2 linked regions of the Schizosaccharomyces pombe genome follow. The protein of the gene in region 1 interacts with the protein of each later gene in a biochemical or structural test. Each region holds a gene or a part of one and is shown on either strand. Other genes may lie near its edges.

Region 1 (4,244 bases):
CCGCACTATTCATCGGAGTTAAACCAAGACCAGGTTCTTCAGCTTTGGTGTGAACTGGAGATACCGAAGTCGCTGATCCAAATTTCTTATCAACTTTAAATCTTGAATATGGCGTAACTGTTTCATACTCATAAACAGAATTTTTTGTTGATCTGCCAAATGGCGTTGGATTTTTGGAATCGAAATGCGAAATACCCAACGGTGAGTGTACCCCTTGACTCAAATCACCAATGTTGCTAACATCAAAAGGTAATACCGGGCTCGGTTTACTAACTTTTCGATCTTCAAAATCAGAGCCATCCATCCTCATCCTAGTTTTCGTAGTCGAATTCAGTTATAGAAGCACGTAAAAATTTATTTCAGAACTTCAGGTGGTAAAAAGAGAAAGTAAAATCCCAAATATAATGGTATGCGCAGAGAACATATCTAAGCCAAAATAAGTATTGATTCCATTAAGGATGGCTCGCCACAGACCATGTCATCGTAATTTTGCCTCCCCATGCATTTCTCTTCAAAAGGAAAACTAAGGCACAATTTAACGAAACATACAGAATTTTGCAGAGACAACATAATGTATTGCTTTGAAAACTGATTTTCGATCAGTTGCCGTTTCTTTAAAGAATTAATAAGTAAATCGAGTAATGACATTTAGTGAAGATCTTGATCGAGAGTACTGGTTTGAAATTGCTCCAGTTGCTTTTGTAAAGTTGCGATTTGTGTTTCAAGCTGTTTGATTTTCAATTGAGAATCGACCGTAATCTGTGCCGTAGATGATTCAAGTGAATCAGTTCCGGACTCCATAGGCTCCTCTTTTTTCTTTCCAGATATTGAACGAAAAAATGGAAACCGAAACAGACTTTTGCGTCTGGTATATTTCATGAGTTTGGTCGGAGCTTCAATTGTTTGGAGCGTTGGCGTTTCAGATCTATCAGGGAAGTTATTGTTTATTTCCTTAGTAAAATCATTATTTTCCCAAGAGCCGTTAACAAGACGGTTTGACTGAATATCCTCCCTAGAATCCGTAATCTCTCCAATACTACTTTCGCTACTTGATGCGTGACCAAATGCTCTTTTAAATGATTCTTCCCTTTTATGACTTCTTCCCATCTCCTCTTCAGATAATTCCTTAGCATCATTGTATGAAGGAATAAGAAACTTGGATACATTGTTATCATCTGTAGTTCCTTGAGTAATGTGTTGTAAATGTAAATCCTCGTTTTCATATGGAATCCTTGTATTATTTAAATATTCTTGTTGACTTATATCGAAATTCGATAGCGGTTGAATCTGCTCGTTCGTATTCTGATAGGCAGGATCTTCTTTGCTTGTTGCATTGGCATCTTCTTCAACGCTGTTACCAAGAGAAAAATCATCACCTTCTACGATCAAAAAACTCTCATCGGAGCTAAATATGCTTGGTGATGGCTGATCATCATCCATGGGAACGATGGAAAAAGCAACTGCAAGTCCATAGTTGGTTGACAGCTTTTTAACCTGCATTTCGAATTTAGAATACATTTGATATAAATCGTCCTCAGAATCTTCCATTAAAGCTTCACGAAAGCTTGGTTTTAGTCGAACAGTAGTATTATGATCACCTGGTAAAACCATTGAATTGGACGTAAATCGTGGAGTTAATGAAGAAGTATACATAGGTGATAATCTCGTAGACATTGACATTGATATTGGTGTTTGTTTGTTTGGCAATGATTCTCGTAACTCGCGTATACGAACCATCAACTCTTCGATTTGGTTATTTGCGCATCTTTTAATAAGAGGCTGAGCTGTGTTCTGACATATCTTTTCAAACTGACTTTTTGCTAATCCATAATACATAATTGCTTGTGAAATTTCTCCCAAAACTTCCTGATTTTCCCCATCTCGGGCGTATTCATGCGCCTAATTTTGTTAACATTCACATTCAAAAGCGAACGATAATTACGAACTTCAAACACTAAATTTACTCATATCCTTATCTCTTTAAGCATCTCTTACCTTTCTTAATGAATATCGAACCATAACACATTTTAATAATATACTGTTGTTGTGTAAGGAAGTGGCCAACTTATGTTGTCTACAAATGTGAACGACATAATACGGTACATTAACTCAAAATAAGTTTCTAGAAGACAATTCCTTCAAAAAAAAAACTAATAAAGTGATAGACACCAAATTAAACATTAGAGTTATATTCGGACTAAAACTGCAACAACAGTACTATCATGGAAATTATAAATTAGAATTGAATCGTAAGGTAAAAAATTCATTTACTACTTCTTTCTTTTAAGTAAAAAAGTAATAATATCGCTGGTGATAAGCTTTACTCATAAATTTAAATAGAATTAACTATTGTTTCGTAAGGGAATATTCGCCAAATAGAACCTTCATAGTAGAAGGATTTAATGGAAGGTATAACATGTAACATAACAATGGGTTTTAACCGGTCGATAACCAAAATAACATAATAAGAGAATAAAGCTAAAGGCAACTAAAAAAGTAGACAAAGTCGATTATTTTTTTCAAGCAAACGATAACTTAATTTTTATGAATGGAAAGGTTTTCGAAAGCAGGAAGAGATTCTTCCTTGATGCCGGCAAAGAAAACATCAGGAGTCGTACAAGCACCAAGAGCCCGACGCATATGCGAATTACAGAATGTAAGGCCGACTTCGTAACTGGCATTAACCCATCCAAAACCTTCGCGAGCAACGCCTTTGATATTGACACCCTGATTACCATACTCAGCTTCAACACGATGTGGATCAACTGGTCTGGTCAAATCATATTTTTCAACAACAATACCATTAAAATCAACAAACGATTTAGTAATAGTATATAGCCAACGATATACAAGTCTACGAGTCTCCTCTTCATATCCGTATCGAATCAATCCATACCAAGCTAAAATCTGCTGAGGGCTCCAGCCATTAGGATAATCCCATTGACGGCTGGGATTATCAAGACCCACTTTACCCAAGCTTCTCTTTGTACCAGCAACTATACCTCCAGCAACTTCAAACTTGGGAAGACTAACATCAACAAATTTTGCGGCTTGACGGGGAGTTGCCACACCGGCCCACAAGGCCCAGAAAGCAGTAGCACTTTCATAAGTACTCTTCGTTTCTAACTTCGTGTTGTAATCATACCACATCGAATCAGCTTCTGACCAAAGATACTTTTCCATTGCAGCACGACGAGCACGAGCACGACGATCCCAAATGGCAGAAGTTTCTATAGTTCCGTTTGGAAGTACAAACTTGTCATCGAAATATTCTAAAATCACATGTGAGATGTCGGTTTCATATTTGTATAGCAACGAGTTCAGATCCACGGTGGCCAAGTCAGCACAAACTTTTTCCAACCGATAAGTAGTATCATGCCCGCTTTCGCGAACTGCGCGGTCGTGCACGAAATACTCATCCAACGCGGGTTCATGAATTTGTTGGTAATTGTATGCATGAGTAAACTCCTCAAGAGTCATATGATACTTCTCCATGTAAGGACGAAGCAAATGCTCAAAATGAGAAGCTTCAGTTTCCGGAGGAATACCGAGTCCTCCAGGGCGATAGCGGGAAAGACCAGTTTTGGGATCCAGTCGTGGAGTGGCAGTCCAAACAGTGTGATATTCTTTTATAGTCGCAGAAAAGGCCCGATGCAAAAAGTCTAAAGATCCTTCTTCGTTTTTTATACGTTCATAAACTCGAAGGGCCATATCGGTCAAAAATGGAGGCTGGGAGCGAAGAAGATAATAAGTGCGGTTGGCATTCAAGATCTTACCGTAATAGGTAATTTCAAAAATAAAATTCTCCACCATACCTTTCGCCAAGTCAACCCGATCGTCAACAAGCAAACCCAGTGATTCAAAGTAAGAGTCCCAGCCGTACAGTTCATTAAACCGGCCACCAGGAACGACAAATGGCACACCTCGAAGATGTGTATTGCCTTCATCATCTTGGTATTTTTCCATTGCAAGTGCAAGTAACCCTGGCTTATCATTTACATCTCTCACCCATTCTGGAGTAATCTCTTCCGGCAGATATTCGACCTGTAAATTCAAGTAAGGCCTTTCCTTAGCAGCGCGAACATAGTATTCATACATCTCTTGTTCGGCTTTAGGAACATAAATTCGATTCACGTGTGATCCTGATCGGTCTTTGGTATCACGGCAAATAACATCCAAAACACTGGCATCGATTCTTCGAGTAAGGGCATCCCAAAAGGTACCTTTGATGAGTCTAGAAAGTC
Region 2 (3,526 bases), 3.5 Mb from region 1:
GTAGAAAGAATATCATCCGGTCACTTAGTGAATTCTGAGCTTCGTCAGCGGTTCAAATATATGGCTCATTTACCTGAAGGCTGTGAAGTTGCCTTTATTGAGTGTGATTGGTCTAAGATTATTCCCAAAGAAGTCTTGTTAACCTTCAAATCAGAAATCAGTAAACGACGCAAGCAACGTAAAGCTCAAGAAATGAGAGAAGAAAGGTATCGACAACGGGCTGAACGTGATACAGAGGAACAGATATACTCCGAGTTAAATATGCAGAGACCTGTGCCAAAAACCGTAGTGCATGAGGACCCTGCTGAAGCATTCCCCACATTGGGAAGTCATCATCAATTTGAATCTACCGATGAGGTTAATACAGATGAGTCTACCTTATCTACTGCAAAGACTGTTTGGGGAACAAGAGCTCTTGCCAATATTCAAAATGACACCGATGATCAAGACGATCTTGATGGTTGGAAAGTTGACTGGGACAAAGTTGCTCAATTATCTGCACCTTCCAAAAACTCAAAAAACAAAAAAAAGAAGAAATTAGTTTTATTATCAACAGGTGCCGCCCATCGATAAAGATGGAGCATTCTCAGTGATGAAATGCTACTGAAATTTTTGAAATGCAGGAGTGGGCTTTATTTTGAAATATAGTTATAACACTTGTTGCTTGAATTATGAAAGTTTACGATTGACCAATTTTTTGGGGCATGTGAATAGTATTCGCTATTATGACAACCAGTTAATGTAAAAAAGGATAGAATCAGCTGATGATATATATCTACTTATTATTTATCAACATTTTAATATTATTAGAAAATCAAAATCAATTTTTTTAATTGATGGTTTTTATTAATTAACAAGGTAAAATAACTTTGTTGTCAAAGCAAACTAGTCATAAGCGTTCATCACATCTATTGTAAGACAAATCTGAAACATCCTTAAAATCGTGGTGGCTAACCTGAGAATGATATGTATAAGACGCGCGTAAAATAATCATAATGCAAAAGCAAAGAAACTTGAAAGCTAAAAAGCTAGAAATGCAGAGTAAAAAAAACATAAAGAATCATTCAACCATTGTCCACAAACAATTTTGCTGATCACAATTAAAAGAAGGCGGGGCCATCTTAAAACAGGCAAATTGTTGATCTAAAAAGGAAACACTGTTCCAAATGTATTTTCTCCTGAATACGTGATATACAAAAAGCCGTCCTCACTTTTATGCTCTTCGTATATCGTTGACATCAAGGCCGCTGTCGGGGGCAAGATTTCATCAATGAAAATAAAGATGGCCTTCTCAGGAGAAAGTTTTATCCGTTTGCGAATAACATATACAAATTGACCAACTGTAAGGTCAGATGGAACGAGATATTTCTTTTTATCTATTGCAGCAATATCAGATTTATCAACTTTCTCGCAAATAACCTGTTAAGTTAGCAGTTAAGTTTAAAACGTAATTTGTATTTTTGAAAGAAAAAGGTCAGACTTGTAACAATGGATTCACTTTTGATGACAAAAACAATGGGTGTTGTTCAATTCACCACTATTTTGCTCTGAAACCTGTTCTCTTTGACCACCAGACTCTACTTACAGGTATTCGATCGGGATATTTTTCCCGGATTCTTTGAGACTCTGTTTTTCGTTTCTCTGATTATTAATTAGCCTACTAGTTCCAGGTATTCTACAATGCTGTCCAAAAAACAACTTCTATAAGTTTTTGACACATACCAAAAGAAAAGTCGTCCTTGAATTGAGAACGCATGAGAACTCTCAAACTTCTTGCTTGAAGTAGTAACTCCTCTCTTCAATTGCTTCAAAATTCGGTGTTCTTTGTAAACGGTGCGTGAGTTATGTGGTATACGGTCTTGGATAAATAAGCGTACCCTTGGGTAACGTATACAGAGATATGAAGCAATCTTATGATACTATGATAAGTTACCTTATTTCGTAATAAATAAATACTTTACGAATCTTAAGCAGTACACAATCAAAAGGAATTTTTACTACTTCTTTATAGTATGATAGCCATAATTGGTATATACTCAATCCTTGGTACAACAAAAGTCACAACTCTTTTAGGAAGAAAAGCAAGAATGGAAATAAAGACGTTGTGTAAATAAATAATAGCACGCTTAACACGTAAATACCTTCCAAAAAAGGTTAGGAAATAGAATTTTGCAAATAATTACTATTTCTATCTTTCATTAAATAATCAAACCATTAGAAAAATAGTAGTGTTTGATGTAAACAAATAAGCGCTTCTTGAATTATTTGCTTAACATTGTGCTAAAAGTTGCTACAGCAACCAAAATCTAGCGAGTCTTGCTATTAAACCCCACCATAACTATTTATTTATCCTTTACCACACAACGAAGCTTTTAGTTTGTGAAAACAAAAATGAAGTTGTTCTATTTCTCTTTACTTTTTACTCTTTTCTTTGGGCTTATCTCTGCCAACCGTGGCCCCAAAGTTACAGACACAGTGTATTTCGACTTGCAACAAGGTGATGAGTTCCTTGGAAGAGTTACCATTGGATTGTTTGGTAAAACTGTTCCCAAAACAGCCGAAAATTTCCGCGCATTAGCCACCGGAGAAAAGGGATTTGGATATGAAGGATCTATTTTCCATCGCGTTATTCCCAATTTCATGATTCAAGGTGGTGATATTACGAAGGGTGATGGTACTGGTGGAAAATCAATTTATGGCAGCCGTTTTCCTGATGAAAACTTTAAGCTTTCTCACCAACGTCCCGGTTTGCTTAGCATGGCTAACGCTGGACCCGATTCCAATGGATCTCAGTTTTTCATTACTACAGTTAAAACACCTTGGTTAGATGGACACCATGTTGTTTTTGGTGAAGGTAAGAATTCATATTGTAGTTGTATATGTTTTATAAAAGTGACTATTTGTTTTCTTTTTCCTTTTTTTTGTTTGCTAATACTAATTTTATCAGTCCTTTCTGGTTACGATATTGTCAAGAAAATTTCCAAAGCTGAGACTGACAACCGTGATAAGCCTCTTGAAGATGTAAAAATTATCAAATCTGGGCAGTTGTCTCAAGAAAATGTTGAAGATGACGGAACAGATGAATTGTAATCCCTACTTTCTATTTATGAAAGTCATCAACATCTAGTGTTTATAAGATTTACTTGAAAAGCAATGATTTTACATTCTGTTAACATAAACGTTTATCATTGGAAGGATCACTTCTTGTGGTAGTTTGTTTGCATTTTCTGACAGCCATAGTTGTATAACTAATATACGCATAAAGAATGCGATTTTAACAAGTTTTCAATTGAATGAATATAGAACTCTACGTATATTATCCAATTTAGCAAGCGTAATAGCAATGCTGCAATTCTGATAGTAAGTATTGACAACAAACGCGAAGCTTATTAGCTGCTTACTATTTTGTTATGTTTTATCAAAAAGAACTCAAAGACATTATTTTTTCCTATCAGCTGGCTGATATTACTAGCACGTTGTGTAGTTGTTTACCCTATGGGCTCTTAGAAAAGCGGACTTAAGGAAT

The links.
Region 2: the proteins of atg38 (region 1) and atg8 form a complex in vitro, tested with the Schizosaccharomyces pombe proteins (one study listed by BioGRID).

The regions. Positions count from the first base shown.
Region 1 is NC_003423.3:207,577-211,820, reverse strand, and holds atg38 (protein Atg38), read right to left. Parts: upstream 2,063-4,244; 5' UTR 2,020-2,062; coding exon 1,996-2,019; exon of another isoform or gene 1,900-1,995; coding exon 649-1,899; downstream 1-648. Other genes in the region: protein mug168, read right to left, coding at 1-310; alpha,alpha-trehalase Ntp1, read right to left, coding at 2,536-4,244. UniProt on the Schizosaccharomyces pombe protein: Functions as a part of the autophagy-specific VPS34 PI3-kinase complex I that plays a role in autophagosome assembly. This complex is essential to recruit the atg8-phosphatidylinositol conjugate and the atg12-atg5 conjugate to the pre-autophagosomal structure.
Region 2 is NC_003423.3:3,683,510-3,687,035, forward strand, and holds atg8 (autophagy-associated protein Atg8), read right to left. Parts: upstream 1,862-3,526; 5' UTR 1,757-1,861; coding exon 1,723-1,756; exon of another isoform or gene 1,642-1,722; coding exon 1,586-1,641; exon of another isoform or gene 1,420-1,585; coding exon 1,144-1,419; 3' UTR 772-1,143; downstream 1-771. Other genes in the region: rnf10 (ubiquitin-protein ligase E3), read left to right, coding at 1-573; cyclophilin family peptidyl-prolyl cis-trans isomerase Cyp4, read left to right, coding at 2,392-2,854, 2,948-3,090. UniProt on the Schizosaccharomyces pombe protein: Ubiquitin-like modifier involved in autophagosome formation. With atg4, mediates the delivery of the autophagosomes to the vacuole via the microtubule cytoskeleton.